2 linked regions of the Oryzias latipes genome follow. The protein of the gene in region 1 interacts with the protein of each later gene in a biochemical or structural test. Links are inferred from orthologs where the notes say so. Each region holds a gene or a part of one and is shown on either strand. Other genes may lie near its edges.

Evidence for each region.
Region 2: the proteins of uso1 (region 1) and stx5 form a complex in vitro, tested with the Homo sapiens proteins (2 studies listed by BioGRID). The link is inferred for Oryzias latipes from reciprocal best matches to the Homo sapiens genes USO1 and STX5.

Annotation. Positions count from the first base shown.
Region 1 is NC_019859.2:16,828,803-16,840,065, forward strand, and holds the start of uso1 (general vesicular transport factor p115), read left to right. Parts: upstream 1-1,063; 5' UTR 1,064-1,233; coding exon 1,234-1,299; intron 1,300-2,154; coding exon 2,155-2,241; intron 2,242-3,053; coding exon 3,054-3,118; intron 3,119-3,265; coding exon 3,266-3,342; intron 3,343-3,810; coding exon 3,811-3,822; intron 3,823-5,155; coding exon 5,156-5,256; intron 5,257-5,334; coding exon 5,335-5,437; intron 5,438-5,534; coding exon 5,535-5,590; intron 5,591-5,671; coding exon 5,672-5,792; intron 5,793-5,877; coding exon 5,878-6,056; intron 6,057-6,677; coding exon 6,678-6,818; intron 6,819-6,908; coding exon 6,909-6,997; intron 6,998-7,086; coding exon 7,087-7,241; intron 7,242-7,316; coding exon 7,317-7,522; intron 7,523-7,658; coding exon 7,659-7,679; intron 7,680-11,263. UniProt on the Homo sapiens protein: General vesicular transport factor required for intercisternal transport in the Golgi stack; it is required for transcytotic fusion and/or subsequent binding of the vesicles to the target membrane.
Region 2 is NC_019868.2:11,880,054-11,891,877, forward strand, and holds the start of stx5 (syntaxin-5), read left to right. Parts: upstream 1-5,048; 5' UTR 5,049-5,067; intron 5,068-10,563; exon of another isoform or gene 10,564-10,696; intron 10,697-11,090; 5' UTR 11,091-11,255; coding exon 11,256-11,318; intron 11,319-11,729; coding exon 11,730-11,800; intron 11,801-11,824. UniProt on the Homo sapiens protein: Mediates endoplasmic reticulum to Golgi transport.

The sequences.
Region 1 (11,263 bases):
CGTTCTTGTTTATGCAAATCTTACATGCATCTGACGGATTTACTGGTTAAAAGGACCATAATGTCAAGCAGCAGATTACTGCACCTGTCAAAAAAAAAGTGGTCTATTTCTCTGTCCCATTTGCCTTATTAAACTTTAGACTTCATCACTATGTCTATTACTGTGTTCAATCTTGGATTTTCTATTTTGTAGTGTGTTTCTTTTGTGTTTGGGTTATTCACAAATCTGGGTTGTTGGAATAATCACCTGCTGTTTTGAATTGTGCTGTTCATCTGCAATGTTCTGGCTTACTTTTCTATTTTTTGTGCATGTATTCTCCAGCATATCACATGTCCTTATAGCTTTCTTAAAAAAAAAATACCAGGAAGATTTTTAGATTATCTAAACTGGTTGTTTATTTTTTTCAAAACTCAGTTTTAAAGCAATAATCTTTTTATGAAATCATTTTTTTGAGACCAAAAAATAAGTTTATAAAACTCATTTGAAGTCATAGCACTCTATCTGATCATCCTATTACTTGTTTCCAATGCCTAAAAATGTTTTATCTTTTAATATTGTCACCAACTTGTAAAAAAAAAATCACTTTCAACAAGTATTTTAAAGAGTTTTACTTGTCATTATGATGTCTCACAAACATGTTTTCCTCCCTTTCTGCTTTTAGATCACATAGCAAATTGAAATGGAGTTGCATTTTTTTTAATTCAACCAGACAGTAATTATTTGTCTCAAGCATTACATTGGTTTTTTAAATTTATATATAATCAGGTTTTTCGGTCCTTTTAATAGATTTTACATGTTGATTTTGTACAAAAACTAAAAAATGGGCAAATAATACGTATTTTCTTAATATAATAAATTCAATATCATATAATAGTTTATTTGGTCATGAACATAATGGATTATAGTGCTGGATTTATTGAAGTTTGGATTTATTCTCACAGCGACCTCTGCAGTTCACGTGGCAGAAAGATTTAGTGCTCTGGCCCTTTAAGAAAACTGATCACTCGTGCGGGTGAGCCACGTATGGTCTAGTTAGTGCGCATGCGCGTCCATCTCACATCCGGGGTTGGTAGCTGTACATAGTGCCCCATAGTGTAACTCTTCACACTCTCTCTGTCTTTCTTCTATTTTTATACATTTTTTACTTGTGCCACTGAGACAGTGGTCGGAGTCTCTTCTTCAACAAAACAAACCGTCTGGTTGGAAGTCTTCTCTGAGAAGACGCCTGTCAATATGAACTTTCTCAGGGGAGTGATGGGAGGGCAGGCTGCCGGGCCGCAACCCACCGGAGCTGAGACGGTAGGAATCTAGCAATGCTAGCTACATCTGACTTGAATTTTTGCCGCTATGATCCACAAAAAAAACGAAGACATGTATAGAAAAGAAAAATGATAAATTTATGTTATTGGGGCGCATTTTAAAAGATAAGTAACATGGAATCGGTTGATTTAAAAAGCCCTTAAATGTAAGGCTATCACAAGCTAACCTAGCAATAGTCGTCGAACGAAGTATTTTGTCCGTTATTTTTAGTAGTCATAAAACACTTATTCTTGCATTTATAATAAAACACATTTTACTATAATTCACGACAGTTAACAATAAATACAGATCGAACTTTAATGTAAGTTGAAGCATTTTGTTAATTTGGTGTCTCTAGTGGTTATTTAGATTACAAGAAATAAAAACACACTTTCGTGTGCTAGTTTTTTTTAATGAACTCCTTTACATCTGTGACTTCACCCCAGTAGAATGTAGAAAAACGGTTCAATCTTAATTTCCTGATGGGGATTAAATTATGGTTTGCTTAAATTTGTCTTTCTGTTGACTTCCTTTCAATTTTTAATGATATCTTTGAGTGGTGAAGTTATCTGTAAATAAAACATTTTTTTGTATTTAAATGTGATCAAATTAACCTTTGTATTCATTATTAATAATGTGCCATGCTACAGGACTAATCTTTTTGGTTTTTTTTGTTTGTTTTTTTAGCATCAAGCCTTTTATAACAGCCCTTCAACACTAATTTTGGGTGTTTTATAGTTGTGGGGAAAATATAGATATGTAAATAAAAAGTATGACACAAAATTTAGATTATTTTGATTAAGAAATTAAAAATGTGTTCTGGAAAAAAACGTTTGTCTTCTTGTTTGTTAACAGATCCAGAAGTTGTGTGACAGGGTTGCTTCCTCAACACTCCTGGAGGACCGAAGGGACGCTGTCCGGGCCCTCAAATCCCTTTCTAAGGTATAGAATTAACACAAACTCTGCAGATGTACATTTAGGTAGGGAATGTAGGAAATCTTTGTGTTTGTGCTTACATTAAGGCTTCAATGTCTTATCTATGAGAGAGCTGAATTATTGTTTTTTTTGTCTTAAATAAGAACAGATTTTATTTTTAAATTGGCCGCCACCACTTTAAGATGCTTGCTTTAATGCTGACCATCTTATAACACATCTGCATCTTTGTATGACACCATTAAGGATTTGATGCTCCTCAGGTATTCTTCTAGCATGAGCTGGTTCTAAGTTGGGCTCAGAATTGGCAACTTGATTCCTATGGAATGAAAAAAGGATGGATTTTATTTATTTATGTATAAATCATACAGAAAAATGAAGGTGTCATAGAGGAATTTACAGGTAACTTGTTGAATTTTATTTTCCTCACTAGCTTAAAGAAAAATTAATATACGGAAAGTGTTAAAAGGCATATTATAATAAAATCATACTGTACCAAACGTCAAAGGATGTAGGTCTAGTGTGTTAAATGTTCTTAGTTTTTCAGATAAAATCTCTGAATTTAACCTTTGACCTTCAACCTTTTTTTTTTATTTCTTACTGTGAAGCAGTTTATTTGTAAAAATAAATAAATAAATAAGAACTAAACTCAAGAAAAACATTTATAAGCCTTGATCAATAATTTTAGTAAATATTCTTTATTAAATCATACATTTCATTGGACTCTGAAAGCATTTTTTCTTGTAGACTTAAGTTGTTTTTTCTAAAGTTGCAGAAACAAAATCCATTATTGAGGAATCCATTTTTTCTTTTTTTTGTAGAAATACCGCATGGAAGTTGGCACACAGGCCATGGATCACCTGGTTACCATATTGCAGACTGACAGGTATCTCCTTGTTTCTAGATTGAAGCCCTTTTTCTCACATTATAGATCAATAAACGACAATTGACCTGTAAAATAGAAGTCGGGCTGAAAAAAAAAAAGATATTTTCATTTTTTGAAAATATTTTAATTTTTCCCCAAATGCTCCAGATCTGACTCTGAAATCCTTGGCTATTCTTTGGACACACTCTACAACATCATCTGCAATGATGAGGAAGAAGAACAAGGTACACAACCTATAAGGTTTTGGTGTTTTTATTTTGTCCTGGTACGATTAGATTAATTTTTATGTCTATAATAACAATAACTCTATAGCAATCCTTTTGGATTCCCGAAATTCAAGTTCATTGTACTTAATAGAGAGCCACCACTAGCAATATACTAATTCAGTATTATTTAATCGGTTTTGATAAGTTCACAACTTGATTTCATATTGATTTATATTTCAAATTTTGATTCAAAACTAATTGTATTTGGAAACAAATATTGATTTTCTGAAGGGAAATTGATTTGTTTTTATTAAACGCAGCTTTACTGAACAGTGTTGCGTTTGCATGAGCACAAAGCTGGACGTTTGTATCAGTTTGTGAGCCTTCGGTCTGCGTTCCTTCCTTTTTTAATTACTTCCACTAGTATTGAATGTGTTGTATAAAGATTTTCCTGTTTCTCTTCTCTTTCATGTTTTAACCCCACAGATGAATCAGAAGGTAAATCTTTTGGATTATGCATGATGCCAGCCTCTTTAACCACGCCGTTCATCCATGCACATTGGTGCCCCTGCAGTGGCCGACATTAGTTGGGGGCATTTTTACTCAAAAACCTTTGAACTTCTGTGTGACTTGAGACGAGTAGACGATTAATTTTATTTATTGATTTCTTGCAAACCCAACAACTCTTCTACTCGCCTCATGGAGACTTAAAGGTGTGCCTGTTTATTGATGAACTGTTGTGCTGTTGCTGCTCTACTGCACAATGACTAACCACAAATAATATTGCTGTACTGTAAAGCGACACCAAGGGGTTTGGGGGTGGTGCCATTGACTGTATAAAGGAACTGGACTGAGTGACCAGGTGGCTCCAGGTACCCGCTGGCTCCAAGAAGCCAAAATCCCATAGACATCTATTGAAGAATAAATATAACGTAATCGATTTCATGAAGTTAAAATCTCACTAATGTGAACGTTGTATGAATTCACTGTCTTCTGAAGTTAAAAACTTTGATGGTTTATTAAAAATACATTTAAATACATTTTTTTGGCAACAATTGTTCAGATGCAATGCATTGTGGTCTATATTCGCCAATCTGGTGAGCATTGATGCACACTGGTTTTTCGCAGAGACTTCTGGGAAATTTCTAGGGCACTTGATTTTGTCATTGTAAATTTGGACAACCCTACAAAATTACAAATGCACAATATAATGCACTATGTAGTGGGCAGTGAAGGAATTTGGTGACTAAATTGACTGTTTTGTTGGAGCTTGAAGTAAACCATTTGCTATGGGTGATGTCTCACTCCCTCTGTTCAGTTCTCACATACAGTCAATGGGTGGTACTGGCAATGCTTTACTAATACCACAAAGCTGTCTGATTATTATTATTGCTGTTTGTTCACGTTTTGTGTTGTAAAATATAACCCCTTCCCCCAAAAGTTTCTCCAAATCTCCACAAAAACAGACACGATGTCACGTGATGATGGAAAATCAAGACTAATGCTGGTTAAAAGTGCAGTGAAAAGCAAGACAAAAGCAGAGGAAAAGGATCTGGAGCTGATTGGAATAACACGCTACGATTTCAAAAGAGATTATAAGTTAACGAGCATCATAATCTCATGATTAAATCTAGAAACAGGAAATGGAACTACTGTCTTTGAAAAGGTTCCACTGCTTTTCATCCCTGTTAATGCAACAAAAAAAATAACTGACTGCTGATCCAAACTCAGTGCTGGGGATCCCATGACCAAACATTCTTCTACCATAGCAGCATCCACTGGGACGGTAGTCCACAGACTTAGCTGCTCAAGTTTTCCATGTTTTCCTCAGATGAGAATACCCAGAAGCAGACAGACGACCTCTGCGCCCTGTTTACAGAGAAGTTCCTTCAGGATCCTGAGCGAATCACGCTGCTCCTCACCCTTCTGGAGGTACGGCCCTGTTCTCCAACCATCGCAGACAGATTGCTTCCGATGCGTAGAGTGTAACTGTCGGCGGGGGGGTTTCAGGAGTTTGACTTCCACGTGCGTTGGCCTGCGGTGAAGTTGCTGACGGCTCTTTTGAAGAGTCAAGGCGCCCAAGTGCAAGGCATCATTCTCGTCAGCCCCATGGGTGAGTATCTTCTAGTTCACTCAGTCTAACTGGCTACAATCTTTATTTCTATTTATTTCCTTAAATTAAAATATAAACACTAGATTTTCCGCCACAGGTGTTTCCAGATTGATGGACCTGTTAGCAGACTCCAGAGAAGTAATTCGCAATGATGTGAGCGCTTCTGTCTTCCATTTCATTACCCATCGTGAAATATTGGTGGGACTTATGAGTCATGTTGTCTGCTTCCTACAGGGCTTACTGCTGCTCCAGCAGCTAACCAGAGGCAACGCAGCCATTCAGAAAATCGTGGCTTTTGAGAACGCCTTTGAACGCCTCCTAGATATCATCACGGAGGAGGGCAGCAGCGATGGAGGTGAACAGAGTCGTGTGTGCAGAACTGCTAAAACCCTCTTTTTTGTGTGTGTACTCATTCCCCCCTCCTCTTTCCTCTGCTGCAGGTATTGTGGTGGAGGATTGTTTGTTGTTGCTGCTCAACCTGCTAAAGAACAACAGCTCTAACCAGAACTTCTTTAAGGAGGGCTCTTACATCCAGAGAATGAAGCCCTGGTTTGAGGTTGGGGATGATAACTCTGGCTGGTCCGCACAGAAGGTCACTAACCTCCACCTCATGCTGCAGGTAGCCAAAGCAGCGTTCTCGTTTAAAAGTGTTCCCAGTGGTCTTTAATTAGAACTATGCCATTTTTTAAGAAAAGGAAACCTTTCTATGATCTAGTTTCTGCAGAGCAGCAGGAGTTTAATAGAAATTCACAGGTGAGCTATAGGCATGCAGCAAGCAACGCCCTCCCCACTTCCCTTTGCCCATAATTGAGAACTCTCAGTTTACATGCTCTCCTGCTAGCTAACAGCCCCTCACAACCCCAGCCCAACATTACTGCTGTATCAAAAAGTGTATTTTCTACGTCACAAATAATTCTGGTCTTTTTATCGTGTTTTTGTGGCATTTTTATCATGTTGGAGAACATATTAAGAGTTTTAAGCTCAAAATATTGTTTAGTATTTTATTCAAATCGTTGTTAATCAAGTGATGGGGAAAAAGGTTTGAAAAAGCTTAACCACATTTAACCTTTATTGTGTTCTTGTCAAAATGTTCAAACCTGAACACAATTCCAGGGTTAAAAGATCACTGGGAATGCTTTTAAAATGGATCAAAAGATGAGTGGAGTGGGTCGTTCACAGAATCCATGTCAAAGATGACTAATAGTAAGATTTAGAGTCTTAACAAGCTTATAATTTCCAGCTGGTGCGAGTGATGGTGTCTCCAGTGAACTCCCCTGGAGCTACAGCGAGCTGTCAGAAGTGCATGTTCCAGTGTGGCTTGTTGCAACAGCTGTGCACCATCCTCATGGCCACCGGTGTGCCCGCCGATATCCTAACAGAGGTAACCACAGAGAGTACGGACGCTGACCCACCACAGGAAGGTTACGGCAGAAACGCTGACAAAAATGTTCCTTCGACTGCTCCTTTCCAGACTATAAACACAGTTTCGGAGGTGATCAGAGGCTCACAGATCAACCAGGACTACTTTGCCTCAGTCAACGCCCCTTCAAGCCCTCCACGGTAATGAAAGTTTAGTTTTCTCCCCCAAAAAGCTGGCAATGCACGTTAGAGTTGGCTGGATGTTTGATCTCTGTTGTTTGTGTTTGCAGACCAGCCATCGTGGTGCTGCTCATGTCCATGGTGAATGAGAGGCAGCCGTTTGTGCTTCGTTGTGCAGTTCTTTACTGTTTCCAGTGTTTCCTCTACAAAAACCAGAAGGGTCAGGGGGAGATCGTGGCTACACTACTTCCCTCAACCATCGATGGTTCGTTTCAATCTGTTTCTCAAAGCCTTTAAATGCAATTATTTTTTTAACCGGCTCTATTCTTTTCCTCTTTAGCCAATTCTATCTCTGCTGGTCAGCTCCTGTGTGGAGGTCTGTTCTCAGCAGACTCCCTGTCTAACTGGTGTGCTGCCGTGGCCCTGGCCCATGCTCTCCAGGACAACCTCACTCAGAAGGAACAGTTGCTTCGAGTTCAGCTCGCTACCAGCCTGGGCAAACCTCCCGTGTCCCTGCTGCAGCAGTGCACCAACATCCTGTCCCAGGTAAGGCACCGTAGTACAGACGGAACAAGCTATATGTGTTCTGTTAGCATGAAACGAGTTAGCCCATCAACATAGATCAGTGCTAAATTGTAAACCCCAGTGAAGAGAACCGGTTTGCATTGTTGTGGTTTTGCAGGGTGATAAGATCGTCCGACGGGTGAGTAACGTACCTCTGTGTGTGTTTGGGTGTTCTGGTTATTTCAGCTTGGCAAAGGAAGTAGGGGTCTCTGTGACCCGCTTGTTGGTGGATTTTGCTTTTCTTGGACTATTTAGTGGCCCGCCTTTTTACTGGAGTCTATGACCCAGCGACTTTTATTTAATAGAAAGTGAAATGACTGCGCTCAGTGTGGAAATGCCAAAAATGGGAAATGAACTCATCTACGAAACCAACAGAAGGGCAGCAGCTGCTTCTAGATGTCCTGTCTTCTGTGACCTCTTAACCTTTTGCTTTGTGCTTTGACCTTTGATTGCTCCTGTGCTTGGCTTATTTGGGGCGTTTTAATTTTCCAGTGAGGGCTCTTTAGAGTCAGCAGAGGAAGCGTCTTATCCATTTTCTAATTCCTATCATGCGGTATAAAAACGCGTGTTTTGGACTTTTGACTCCCATGTGGGATCTGCACTGTATTACAGCAGTGTTTTCCCTGAGTCAGACTCATAGTCTTTGTCATCATACTAATCAGTTTTGTTGACCTGTTGTTGTCAGACCACTGACTGGACATGAGAACTGGACAGAGTGCATGTGACATCACCAATAGAAAACGGTCAACTTTCAGCTCCAATCATTAATTCAATTCAGTCGCCGTTTTATTTCGATACGTTGGAGCCAGACGCCGTCAGTAAGCAGTCAAAGTCAGGACAAACTGTCAATCACTTTCAACGTGAGACCACACACTTTTATTGAAGTCTGATTGGTAAGTGTATAACTTAAATAAATTGTAATAAAGAAAAAAAGGATTAGCTAGAACATTTAAAAAAAATATATCAGATAAGAATAGTTATTCTGACAAATAGAATGACTGAGTACTTCCTGTTTAGAACGTCAGGTGGGGGAGGTCAGGTGGGGGTGTTTGTGGATGACCAACACGTTTGAACAAGCTTGATTCATTCTCTGATGTGTCCCACAGTGGGGCCTTCTGGACTGAATGGTTGGCCCACACACTAACCGTAACACTCTCTGCTTTCTCTCATTTGTGGGTTTTCTGAATATTTTTAAGTTCATATAACTCCTGATTTACTGAAGTTTTTCCTCAGAGCAGACGGACGGATGATGTTTGGTCTGTGGCTGGTTTTTTATTTGTTTATTTATACCTCGAACTTTCATGCTCCATTCCCTCAACATTTCAGGCAGATTTAGCTGATTTAAAATCACTATCTGCTATCCAACAGTTACCACAGAGTCTGGTCACTGACAGAAGCAAGAAAAACCCAAATGAAGAAAATTAGAAACTAGATTTTCCTCTGGGAGTCTGAGTAGAAATGGTGGTTGTGCAGGTTTCTGGATAGTTTTTATTTTCTGATCTTCATTAGTCTATTAAAGTGCCTTAATGTGCAGACATACCTTTGATAGAAACCCCAACCTGTGATGATGTCTTAGATTAGACATCCACTAAAATTCATGACTTCTGTCTTAGCAGAGTCAGCTTTCACTTATGGTCTTGAAAACTTTACACTTGTGTTGAAATGCAGCTGCCTCTTTGATTTTACTTTTTTATGTGTATTTTTGGAAAGGAAAAAAAAAATACAACTCTCCCAGTAAGGCTGGATATTACTGTCAAAGTACTGAATCCATGCAGCTTTAATTTAATGTATGCTTCAGCGTGAATTCCTTATTTTAATGTATTTCCATCCAAAAGTAAATAAGGTTGTTAAAGGAAGTTAGTTCTCACACATTTCCTCATTGAAAATAAACAAAGGTGGAAATTTTATGAAAAGAATTCATTTAAAGTGCTGATCGACCTGTTTTAACCCAAGTTTAAAGAGACTTTGACATTACTGCACTTTTTTATACTGAATTTATGATCTAGAACAATAGAATGTGACATTTCCATAAAATGAATATCTACTTTTTTTCTCTTTTTCTAAAGATAATTTATATTTTGCCTTTCAGTCAAAAACTTTAAGTTAACCGAATTAAATCCTATCTGTCCTTTTTTTATTTTACTTTTTACTTTTCATATTTGGAGACTAAAGCAAGAAAGGTGATTTTATTTATTTTAATTTTTTTGTATGCTTTCCTGATCATCCCCTCCACATGTGTGTTAAAGCACACACATGTGGCACACACCGTATCTGCTTGGCATCCATTGCTTCAGTGAAGGAAAGACATGCGTCCTTCTGCTGGCGCATGCTGCGCAAATTCTCAAATGCAAATTAAGGCAGGATGGCATAACATTGGTACTTTTCAGCTAAATTAAAAAAATAAATTAAAAGAACATCCTCTGAGTAAGGCCTAAATGTTTATTACTCTGCCTGAAAAGAAATCATTTTGAGCAAATATCTGAGTAAAAGAGAACAAAATGTTTTACAATTTACTACAAGTGAACGTTCGGTGTCTAATTTTATTCAGATAGTTTACAGTTAAACAAACTTCCACCAGTCTAACGAACAAACCCTGAAAAGAAAGAAGATGGACTTTTAACAGGAAGAAAGAACAAGCTTAACCAGACTGGGAAAAGCCGTTTTCTGCTTCAACCGGTTCCTCTGAGGAGAACAGCAGAACGTGGAGACAGAACCTCAGTGTTTGCAGTAATAGAACAAACCCAGTGCATCATGGGGTTTTATATTCTCTTATTTTTCTTCTGGAAATGGCAGGAAAACCTACAGTCTAGTGCTAAGTGCTGGGCTGTGTTAGCATATGTGGTGTTCAGTCTGGACCTTCGCTACCCGATGCTAGCTAGCACATGTACTCGCAGTAGAAAGAGTTTGGTGGGAAATGCGGTGCGGTTTAAATCTGGTGCATCTTGCTTTTTCTTTCACATCTCTATTCAGATACAGGAAAAACTTGGTGTCATAGAATTCTGGCTTGGAACAAACCTCAATTGTGAATTTCTTTTGGTTCTTCTGTGAATTGAAAAGGACGCCATCCAAACGTCACTAAAAGTCCAAGTCCCTGATTGGTCAAAGTTTAACTAGTTTAAGCTCCAATGCGCATACACATGTTTTGTATGGAGAAAAGGGACGTAAAAATAATGGGGTTGAACGCAGAAGTACAAAAGACACACATACACATACATTTACATCAATTTTTAATTGGAAGTGGTCACTTGAAGATGCAAATCTTTGAGTTTCTAAAAATGGGTTTGATTGCTTTTTGATAAATCTTATTTTCACCTCAGAATTCAAAGTAGAAATAAAAGAATTGAGAGGGTTTTAATCCAGTTTTGGTTCAAACGACTATCAAGTAGAATTATGGAGTGAGTCCATTGGCAGACTGAGATGGTTTGAACATGTTCAGAGGAGGGATAGTGGATATATTGGTAGAAGGATGTTGGAGATGGAGCTGCCTGGCAGGAGGGCAAGAGGACGGCCAAAGAGGAGATATATGGAAGTCTTAACAGAGGACATGAAGTTGGCTAATGTTAGGGTAGAAGATGTTCATGATAGAGTGAGGTGGAAAACGATGATTCGCTGTGGCGACCCCTGATGGGAAAAGCCGAAAGAGAAAGAAGAAGATTAGTCCGGTATTCTTATAAAAAGGGAATGCAGACTAGTTTGTCTTTAAAAGTTTGGCAACCATAAGCA
Region 2 (11,824 bases), on another chromosome or scaffold:
CAGGAGGTGAGTGAAGGTAAATAATAGATTTAATTTTTCCAGCGCATGAATTTGTCCTGTTGTGGCGGGGAATGGCAGGAACGGCAACTCCAGATGAGAGGGTGGATCTTGATGTGGCTGGAGGTTCGACTGTGGCCCGTGGCGTGGCTGGAGGTTCGGCTGAGGCCAGAGCTGAGGCCTGATGTATGGAGCGTTGAGAGGAGGTAGGTAACTCCGGGGATAACTCCGCTTGGGCTGAAGCTGAAGCTGGCGTCCACTCGTGGGATATGTAGGTCCTGGACATAGAAAGACTAGAGTTTAGACGAGGGTAAAGATACGTAACAGGAAAACTTGAAAGAGACCAGACAAGCACCATCAGGGGCAACGAACTAGCGTTGAATTCTGGTCCTGGCGCTCCTTAAGTAGGTCTGGCAGGTTGATGAGATGAGTGAACGCAGCTGGGACGAATCAGTGGCCAAGCAGAGAGGGGTGGGGGAAGATAGCTGACAGAGGCACCATGACAGTACCCCCCCCTCAACGACCGCCTCCAGGCGGTCCAGGACGGCGATCAGGATGGGCCCGGAAGAAATCCTCGATGAGGGACGGGTCCAGGATGAGAGAGCGGGAGATCCAGGATCGCTCCTCCGCACCATAGCCCTCCCAATCAACCAGGAACTGGTGCCCACGACCCCGACGCCGAATGTCCAGGATACGGCTGACCGTAAAGGCAGGAGCGCCGTCGATGATACGGGCGGGCGGCGGGGAAGCGGACGGCGGGCACAAAGGGCTGTCCTGGACGGGCTTGATTTGTGAAACGTGGAAGGAATGGTGTACCTTGAGGGCTCGTGGAAGGCGTAGACGGACACAGGTCGGATTGATGATCTTCTCAATAGTGTACGGTCCGATAAAGCGAGGAGCCAGTTTCCGGGAGGAGGCCTGAATCGGGATGTTGCGGGCAGAGAGCCATACCTGTTGGCCGGGCTGGTAAACGGGTCCCACCACCCTGTGGCGATTGGCGATGCGACAGTTGCTCTCCTTGGTGCGGAGGAGAGCCTCTGTGGTTTGGCGCCAGACCTGTTGGCAACGCTGGAGATGTTGCTGGACAGAGGGCACCGCCAAATCGAGTTCCTGGGACGGAAACAAAGGTGGTGAGTACCCGAGCGCGGCTTCGAATGGTGACACCCCAGTAGCGGAAGATGCGTGAGTATTGTGGGCATACTCAATCCATACTAAGTACTGGGACCAGTCCTCGTTGTTTTGTGCCGCCAGACAGCGCAAGGCTGCCTCCAGTTCCTGGTTGGCCCTCTCTGCTTGACCGTTGGACTGGGGATGATAGCCGGAGGTGAGGCTGACCGTGGCCCCCAGGGCGGAGCAAAAGGTTTTCCAGACTTGAGAGACAAACTGGGGACCACGGTCCGAGACAATGTCCAAGGGGATGCCATGGTGACGGAATACCCGGTCAACCAGGACCTGGGTGGTTTCTGTGGCGGAGGGTAACTGGGCTAGAGGAATGAAATGAACCATCTTAGAGAAACGGTCAATGATGGTGAGTATGACAGTGTTACCCTGAGATGGAGGCAACCCGGTGACAAAATCCAAGGCGATGTGCGACCAAGGACGACTGGGGGTGAGTAATGGTTGTAACAATCCGGCTGGGGCAGAGTTAGAGGACTTGGAGCGGGCACATGTGGTACACGCTGCCACATATTCACAGACGTCCTTATCCATTGAAGGCCAAAAGAACCTTCTACGGAGGAGATGGAGAGTGCGCTGGACGCCGCCATGGCAGGACAGCCGTGAGGTATGCCCCCAGGAGATGACATCTGCCCTGAGGGAGGTGGGTACATAAAGGGTTCCGTTAGGACAGGGGGCATGATTGGGTTCCTCACCTTGAGCTTGGAGCACCCGATTTTCGATATCCCAGGTGAGTGCGCCGATTATGCACGTGGAGGGGACTATGGTGGTGGTGATCGAGTTTTCCGTGGTACTGTACTTGCGGGACAATGCGTCTGGTTTGATGTTCCGGGTTCCAGGACGGTAGGTGATTGTGAAGCGGAACCTGTCAAAAAACAGACACCACCGGGCCTGACGAGAGTTGAGTCTCTTGGCGGTTCTAAGGTAAGCGAGGTTTTTATGGTCTGTCCAGACAATAAAGGGATGCTCAGCCCCCTCCAGCCAGTGCCGCCACTCCTCCAGGGCCAATTTTATTGCCAGCAGTTCACGATTCCCCACGTCGTAATTTTGTTCTGCAGCCGACAATTTCTTTGAAAAGAAAGCACAGGGTTTGAGCTTTCCAGACGTGAGTTCCTTCTGGGAAAGAACAGCGCCGACCCCGGAATCCGAGGCGTCGACCTCCACGATAAACTGGCGTGAGGGATCTGGCTGAATGAGAATGGGGGCTGTGACAAACAGTTTCTTGAGATGGTCAAAGGCCTGTTGGGCTTCTTGGGTCCATTGAAAGTTTTGATGGGTGGAAGTGAGGCGAGTGAGCGGGGCAGCAATGCTACTGTAGTTGCGGATAAAACGTCTATAGAAATTAGCAAAGCCCAGAAATTGTTGCAGTTTCTTCGGATTGGTAGGGGGTTCCCAGGCGGAAACAGCCTCGATCTTGGAGGGATCGGGTTTTATACGACCTGCCTCAATGATGTAACCTAAGAACTGAACAGACTTGACATGGAATTCGCATTTCTCTGCCTTAACATACAGCTGGTTCAATAAGAGACGGGTGAGGACTTGACGGACGTGTTGTTCATGCTGGGTAAGATTGTTTGAGTAAATGAGGATGTCATCAAGATATACAAAAACAAAGCGATTTAGAAAATCTCTAAGAACGTCGTTGACTAACCTCTGAAATACTGCTGGGGCATTAGTCAACCCAAAGGGCATAACTAGATATTCATAATGCCCCAGGGGGGTATTGAAGGCAGTCTTCCATTCATCCCCCTCTTTGACACGGACAAGGTGATAGGCATTACGGAGATCCAGTTTTGTGAAGACGTGGGCTTCCTGGACGGAGTCGAAAACAGAGGAGATTAAGGGCAGAGAATATTTGTCCTTTACTGTAATTTGATTGAGTTCCCGGTAATCTATGCAGGGGCTTTTCGACAAAAAAGAAACCTGCCCCAACAGGGGATGATGAGGGACGAATGTGACCCAGGGATAGCGCCTCCTGGATATAACTTTCCATGGAAAGTTTCTCAGGCCCAGAGAGGTTGAAAATGCGGCCCTTTGGTAAGGTAGCACCCGGTAGTAAATTGATTTTGCAATCGTAGGGGCGATGGGGAGGAAGGGCGCTTGCCTTAGATTTGCAAAAAACATCACGTAGGTCATGGTAACAGGAGGGGATCTTATCCAGATTAATGTTACTGGGAGAGTCAGTGGTGTGATGATGAGCCGAAGGTAAGGCGGACGAGAGACAATTAGCAGAACAATAGGGGCTCCAGTTAGTTATGTGTCCTAAACTCCAATTAAATTGTGGGTTATGCAACTTTAACCAGGAGTAGCCTAGTACTATGGGCGTATGAGTGGACTGGGTAATGAAAAATTGCATAACTTCCCTGTGGTTGCCAGAGGTGAGAAGTTGAACAGGTTTGGTTCTATGCGTAATTCTGGAGAGGTGCTGCCCTCCTAAGCCCGAGGCCTCTACAGGAGCTTCCAGAGGTTCTGTGGGAAGACCGAGTTTAGACACCAGACCATGATCAATTAGGCTCTGTTCGGCTCCAGAATCTATAAGTGCCCTGAAAGCATGAGTTTGGGTTTTACAGCATATTCTGACAGGAATGCACAGGAAGCTTTGATTTTCCTGAGTGCTGAGGTTGCCCCCCCGTGACCTGTCACTCAGCGGGGGGTTTTGGGAATTTAAACGCAGAGTGCACTGTGAAACTAAATGTCCATGGGCTCCACAATAAAAACATGAACCCTCCTCTTTTCGCCTCTGTCGTTCTTCTGCAGATAGTTTAGAATGATCTCTGTATAGGTCCCTCAGATGGTTTGGAGCTTGCGAGAAAATCCATTCTGAGGGGCGACTGGGCTGTGATGGTAGAAGGGGCCGGATCGCTGATGGTTTTCTTCGGGGTCTGTTGGCGATCATGACGTCGCTCGGTGAGTCGGATGTCCGAGCGGAGGGCTGCTGAAACGAGCTCTTCAAAGGAGTTAGTTTCAGGCTGAGTACAGAGATGGTCTTTAATTTCTTCATTCAAAGATTGATAAAAAATGCCCTTTAAAGCCAGATCTGGCCAGCCTGCTTCGACCGCCAGAATGCGGAGTCAATGACGTGCTCACTAACAGTCCGGTTGTGTTGTTTCAGGTTAAGTAATTTACGTGTGGCTTCTTCCCGTTTACGGGGTTGGTCAAAAATCAAACGGAATTCGTTTAGGAAGTGTTCATAGCGAAGGTGACTAATAGGGTTAGCAGAAACAAAGGCTTGAGCCCACCGAAGAGCTTTCTTCCGGAGAAAATTTATTATAAGGGTGATTTTACTGATATCAGAGTGATAATGCCTGGGAGCCTGCTGGAATATGAGTTGGCATTGAAGTAAGAACCCGCCACAGGCTTCTACGTTGCCTAGGAACGGTTCAGGCTGTAACCGGAAGTTTTCGGGTGAGTTGACAGGACCGGAAGCGGAAGCTGCATTGTTGCCGGAAGACGGAGTAGAAGCTCCTATAGCAGGGTTAGCATGTCGCTCGGTTAGCTCGGAAAGCGTTTGGTTCATACCTCTGATGCGAGAGATCGTGTCCTCTTGGACTGTAGTGACGCGGGTGACCGCACTGGAGAGGAGTTCCAGGAACCGACCTTGTTGGGAGACAATATTTTGTAAATCTTCCGGGCCAGCTGGGTCGGGGTTTTGGCTAGTTGTTCGTTCTGTCATGACTTGTCAAAGCTAGACAGACCCAGACGCTGAAACCCAGAAGGAAGACAGGAGGTGAGTGAAGGTAAATAATAGATTTAATTTTTCCAGCGGATGAATTTGTCCTGTTGTGGCGGGGAATGGCAGGAACGGCAACTCCAGATGAGAGGGTGGATCTTGACGTGGCTGGAGGTTCGGCTGAGGCCAGAGCTGAGGCCTGATGTATGGAGCGTTGAGAGGAGGTAGGTAACTCCGGGGATAACTCCGCTTGGGCTGAAGCTGAAGCTGGCGTCCACTCGTGGGATATGTAGGTCCTGGACATAGAAAGACTAGAGTTTAGACGAGGGTAAAGATACGTAACAGGAAAACTTGAAAGAGACCAGACAAGCACCATCAGGGGCAACGAACTAGCGTTGAATTCTGGTCCTGGCGCTCCTTAAGTAGGTCTGGCAGGTTGATGAGATGAGTGAACGCAGCTGGGACGAATCAGTGGCCAAGCAGAGAGGGGAGGGGGAAGATAGCTGACAGAGGCCCCATGACAAGGAGTTCACTAAAATTCACCTCTGAGCTTTTGGCAGGACTGTTGGCATGAAGTAAGCCTGCCCTGACATCATCCCTTTGTTTACACTCTCTCCCACTAGCCTACAGCCCCTCAGAACCCCAACCTAACATTACAGATGCAACAAAAATGGCGAGCAATATCGAAACTATCCTGCCGTACAGTTTTGAGCCAGATCTCAGCTCATACAAGGAAAATGAAGGCGGAAATAGATCTAGTCGTCTACAAGTGGATGCATCAGAATAGAGAGGAGCTCAGAGCTTGTGGCCTGCCAATTGTAGCACCTATGTCACTGCTTCAAGCTTTTTCCAACAGCATTTGTTTTATCTGCTCCTGATTCATAACGATTTGAATAAAGAAACACTCAGAAATGCAGTTTTGATCTTAATTTTCTTCATAGATGTCAAAAAAACGCCACAAGAACATGTTAAAAACACCCAAATCAGGATTTTTATTGGAGTGGGTCTTTAATGTGAAGCACAACTGACTACTATATAATTATTGGACGAATACTGATATAAAAGTTAGGCTCAATCATTTTTTCTGACATATTATTGACATATATACTATTTAATACCATAAAACAATCCAAAAAGCACACAAAGGGAGATTTTCTGAGTGGTTTAAAGAAAGGTGTGACATATGATGGAACGGATAAGGGAAGGTACGACGGTACAGGGTTCAGACGGGTGGAAGGCTGGGGATCTGGGGCTGGAGGCATACTTGTGGTCTGAGCATGCTTGGGCCTGTCAGAAAAAGGATGCAGGTACCAGCAGGAGGTTGAGAACATCAGAGAGCAGCAAGATCGTATCTTTCTCTTTCCATGCTGTACCTGAGTGTTGAATCACCTGAGGAAGCAGCCCATCCTGTCCTTGTCCAAATGTCTGTTCTGTCTTTTTGCTGGGAAAGATTCAAAATGGGTCTTTCAATTATAAAATTTCATGTCATTGGTACATGAGGTTTGCTTTTATATTTCTTATTTTTATTTCATTATCAGTGTTTTGCCAATTAGAAAGACATTTTGTTTGAAAGGGCATAAGAACAAAAACATGAAGTCATATTTACAACTTTTTGTAAATGCATCCTTGACATACTTATTGGAACTTCATTTAATATGTAAAACTTATACACACATTCTACTGCCAGGATGCATCTCAGAAATTGCTGAGATTACTAAAATTACCAAATATAGCCAATTAGTCTCTAAATCCACTTATTCCTGTTCAATGCCATCGTCTACCCAACCACTGAGGAGGGAAGGTAGAGTACATCCTGGACAGTTTTCCAGTCCATAGCAGGGCAACACGGAGACAAACAACTACAAACGTTCACACCCAAGGGACTATTAATAACCACCAATTGACCTACGAAGCATGACTTTAAACTGTGGGAAGAAATCAGAAGAAACCTACGCATAAACGAGGAGAACATGCACACTCCACACAAAAAGGTGCAGCAGGGTTTTGACCCAGAGCCTTCTCCCTGTGAGATGAGAATGGCAACAACTACGCCAGCACCACCAACGTATTAGTAATAAATATGACACCTATTTTTTTATAAACGTCTTAGAAAAAATACAAAAACAAAGCTTGTGTTTAGGCCCCACTACTTATTGGACCGTTACAAAGAAATGGATAAACATAACGTTTGAAACGTGTCCCTTAACTCAATGCTTTCTTAACTCGAAATAAGTAAAGTGAACTGGGTCCCTATTATTTTTTATTGTTTTATTTATATGTTTTATTGTTTATTTTAATGCTATTTTAAAGGCCTAAAAAGTATATAGAAATCACAAACATGTCATAACATGTATTTGAGAACACGTGTTGAACTTCAAGTCATGTCTGAAGAATACCAAGGAGAGGACCAAAATAATTTTGATCCATTAAGATAATGAATGTTTTTATAACTTGGTTCTTTGTGTTGTTTACATTTTCTGCACTTTTAAAGTCCCACTCCAATCATCTTTTGATCTATTGTAAAAGGGTTCCCAGTGGTATTTTAATTATGATTATGCCGTTTTTAGCCCCCAAAAAAACCAACGTTGTTTTCTGGAACATGGTTTCTGCAGAGCCAGATGTCAGCTCAGTTGAGGAAGCCAAAGACGCACTTGTATATAGTTATCTGCAAGTGGACGCATCAGAATGGACCAGAGCTGGAAGCTTGTGGCCTGCTGATTGTAGCACAACTACAAGCTTTTTCCAGTGGTATGTTTTCATCACCTCCTGGTTCACATTTGAATTAAGAAGTACTCAAAAATGCGATTTTAAGCAGAATTTTCTTTTGATATGTTCTTCAGCATTAGAAAAATGCCACAAAAACATGACTTAGGCCTTATACAACACATGTAAAGCAAGGCAATTTCATTTGCATATCGTTTTATGCAAACAAGGGAAATTAAAAATGCTTTGCAGAAATAAAATTGTTTTAGCTACATACAGCAAAGTAAAAAAAAAAAAACTATGTTTAAACTGGAACTTCAATCAAGAAACAGTTGGTTAACATCTGAGTTCACCAGGAGGTTGGTTCTAGGGATGGGTACCGTGCCCCGGTACTGAACCAGCCCCGGGGCCACATTGTTCAAGACCGCAGTATCGTTAAGATCTGACCTGAACGGTTCTGCTATCGGTACTGGAGAAGTTACTTTTTCTTTTCTTTTTTGTGTCCCACAAGTGTTATCTGCCATATTTAACTCACCAAGTCAGTCAATTTTCCGTTAATTAATTATGATATTAATTTTGGTATTCTCGTTGAAGCGGGGGCGGGGCTGTTTTTCAGACAGCACGCGCCGCGCGCGCACACACACACACAAGACAAGGCAGCGCACACACAGTCAGTGGCGATCTCGTAGGGGACACGTGAGCGCCCTAGACTAAGAACACCCGTTTCTGCGTAAAATTAATGAAGTTTGCATCAAGGAGCCCCTACCATGCTGTCACCTTGCTGCTACGATGACCGTATGTTGCGCTGTCTGTGTAGAACACGCTGGGGCGGCGTGATCTACACAAAACAAACAGGTAGAGAGGCGGGGCTTAAATTCACCGCTTATGATTCCAGACCCGTGACAAACTATCAGCTGCTTCCTAAAACTTATTTTTTTTCAACTTTATTGAACATAGTATTAACATGCAAAATACTTCCTAATACTTAATAATAATTAATGACTAATGATAGTTGTCATCCGTAAAATTAATATAAATTATTGGGTTTACTGGATTTAAACAAAAATAAATAAATAGAAAGGAGTCTGTATCAAAGTGAATTTGTTTCCATCATCTCACTCAATCCTAACTCTGGTGTTTGACAGACAGAAAAGTCTATTCAAGGTTGTGGAAAATGGACAAAAGATCAAAGGAAACATCACGCTCATAAAGAATAAAAATAATTAGATTAAATAATTAAATAAATATCCTGTCTGGAACATTCTCATGTATAAAGTAAAATCTTTTGTAAAAAAAAAACAGTGTTGTTGCATAATGAGGAAATAAAACACTTTATGTTCTTAATTTGTTATTTATTTATTTTTCGTCCTCAAAAAGTATCGATAAGTGTACCGTTAAAATACCGGATCGATAAGCAGTATCGATAAGAGTAGTAGTACCGTTAAAACCTTAACCATACCCATCCCTAGTTGGTTCCATCAGTGAGCTTCAGAATAGCTTAAAGGAGCTTCATCCAGTTTGGATTCTGCCAGCGTGTTACTTCCTGCAAATCCTACACATGCTCGGTTTGTAAACCACAAGTAGACCCAACAAGTCCCGCATCTTAAAATGATTCATAAACTTGACTTAGCACTTTAAAATCAATTCTATATTAAACTGGTAGAGCAGACAGAAGACATTTGCTTCAGTCCAGCCTGCAGGAGATAAAAGCATGAATCACCTTCTCTAAATCTAGGCTAGACATTAGATCTCTGAGTTTCCCTGTTAGATTGTGATGATAAAAGGATGATTTAGCCCTAATGTGAGGCTAACAAGTCTAAATCTATTGTGACATCAAGATTTCTAACGTGACTTTTGGTCTTTATTACTCTAGAAACTATTGTTTTAGCTTTCTGAGATTTGATCTGTTATTTTTATTTCATGGTAGACGTGTTATATTTTCTTTTTGATGTACTAAGCTATCTAAAGAAGAGGGTCAAGCTTCAAATAGTTCCTCCTGTGCTTTAATTTAGCCAAAAATGATCTATTTAATATTGTATTATATTATATTATATTATATTATATTATATTATATTATATTATATTATATTATATTATATTATATTATATTATATTATATTATATTTATGTTAATCATTAGGTTAAATCAACTGTTCTCTCAATATTTTGAAGTACATTTTCACTTCACCCTATCATGTTCTACTTCTGAAGATATGATAATCAGTCATTTAAAAGTAGTTAAGTAGGAGTTAAGTAAGGGATCACAATATTATTTGTTTCTTTTGAATTGATAAAATAAAAACATCAAATATTACAATAAATGACTACATGCAATATTTGAAAAGGACTTTGAATGGAGTTTGATAACTTATTGAGTGCAAGCACCTTGTTTCAATTCAGTCCAAACTTGAATTTTTGCAGAATTAGAAAAAATAAACACAAACATTGAAAAGAAACAGTTGTGGTTAAAAAAAGGACAAAAAAATAAAATAAACACCAAAACCAACAATAAATGAATGAATATTGTTGAGTCCTTTATATCTATTTCTTAAATCACTGTCTACAATTTCTTTTAAATTTTTAATTTTAACAATTTTAAATATCTTCCCTGCAGCTATTTTATATTTGAACCCCTCTTGTGGATGTATAGTGAATGTTAGCCTTTGTTCTCACAGCTAGTTTCATAAACATATATGATAATCTAAGACCTTATTTATTGTCTCTTAAATGGAAGAGCCTGTGGATGCTCTTTGGTAATTGTTTATTATTATTTTTTTAACATGATTTGAATTATTTTGAAATCAAACAGATCTCCAAGTGTGACTGAACGATTTTAAGAATCACAGACAGGATTGGGATAATCTCTTAAAGTATTAATTTGAAACCCATGATTATTAATTAATAATTAATTAATTAATAATTAATAAACCTTTTTTGTTGTCAGTTCTTATCTACGTAAGCATGAGTTATGGCTCCATCTGGCGTTTCCTGTGTACTACTGCAGTTTTGTTTTCGTGCGTAGGTAAAGCAGACGTGGCATTGACGTCAATTCCGGAAACGACTAGCATCGGAACTTTAACTCCGGGGTTGAGTAGTTCTTTTCTGGAAAAACATAGCGGGCTCACCAAAAATGGTTTAATACCTACTCAAGTAAGTTGGAGCTGATCGTTTTTTGTTTTTTGAACATAAATTAACGTCGCGCGGTTAGTTTTGATCGAATTATAACATGTTACGTAAGAGATAAGTGAAGCAAAAGAGGGTTAGCAGATTCAGCTAGCTAACCGTAGCATGTAGTTAGCCGGTTGGGCCGTGAACAGCTGTGGACGTCTTTACTGGCTTGAGATAACCATCGTTACCTAATGATATTAGTATTTAACTAGTGTGGTGATACATATGTGTAAATTATTGTGATAATAGTTTTGTGTTTTACATTATCGAATGTTAATCGTAGTGGATGCTAACGGTACCTTCTGTTCAAACCGGTGGTTTTTTGTAAGCACTGTTTGTTTGCTGATGATGCCAACAATTCTCTTGTTTTTTGTAGAAATGCGTGGGCCTTTGTTCATGAAGGATTGTCCGCCTTGGATGTGAGCTTGTTCCCACATCGGGAGATCCTTCTGTTTACCGTACAGGCTTCAGGCTGAGGGTTCGGGCGTCGTTTCAGGTATTTTCTGCTTCAAAAGCGGGTTTATAATCCTCTGACGGCAAGATGACGTGCCGCGATCGGACCCTGGAGTTCCAGTCCGCCTGTAAATCTCTGCAAGGCAGACAAGTATGTTATAAACACAGACCACTCACTACACGAACACAATCATTTTATTTTAAATGAAGGTAAAGGGTCTAAACGCCACAATACTACCCATTCTTTTCATATTTGTGTTCTTTGAAGGCTGGATCTGATTACTTTTAGTTTTGTTTTCTATTTTGTTTCTTTCTGTTCCTTGTTTTTATTTTTGTTTTGGGCTGAACTGACTGATATTGGTCCATTAAATCAATCTCTTGATCAATGACGCACATAAAATAATACTTAGTTTGACATTGATCCCAAACTTCTATCAGCCCAATGAAATATCACTAAGTCATATCACATATATCTGTGTGATGGTGCAAGTTTTTATGCTTAGTGTCTTTGTGGTTTTTTTTAAAGTTGTACATTTTTTAAATTATCGTCTTCTCTCATCAGAATGGAGTCCAGCCCAGTAAACCAGCTCTTGCCGCCCTGAGGCAGCGCAGTGACTTCACAGTGATGGCAAAGTAGGAACCTCATTGTTTGCTTTC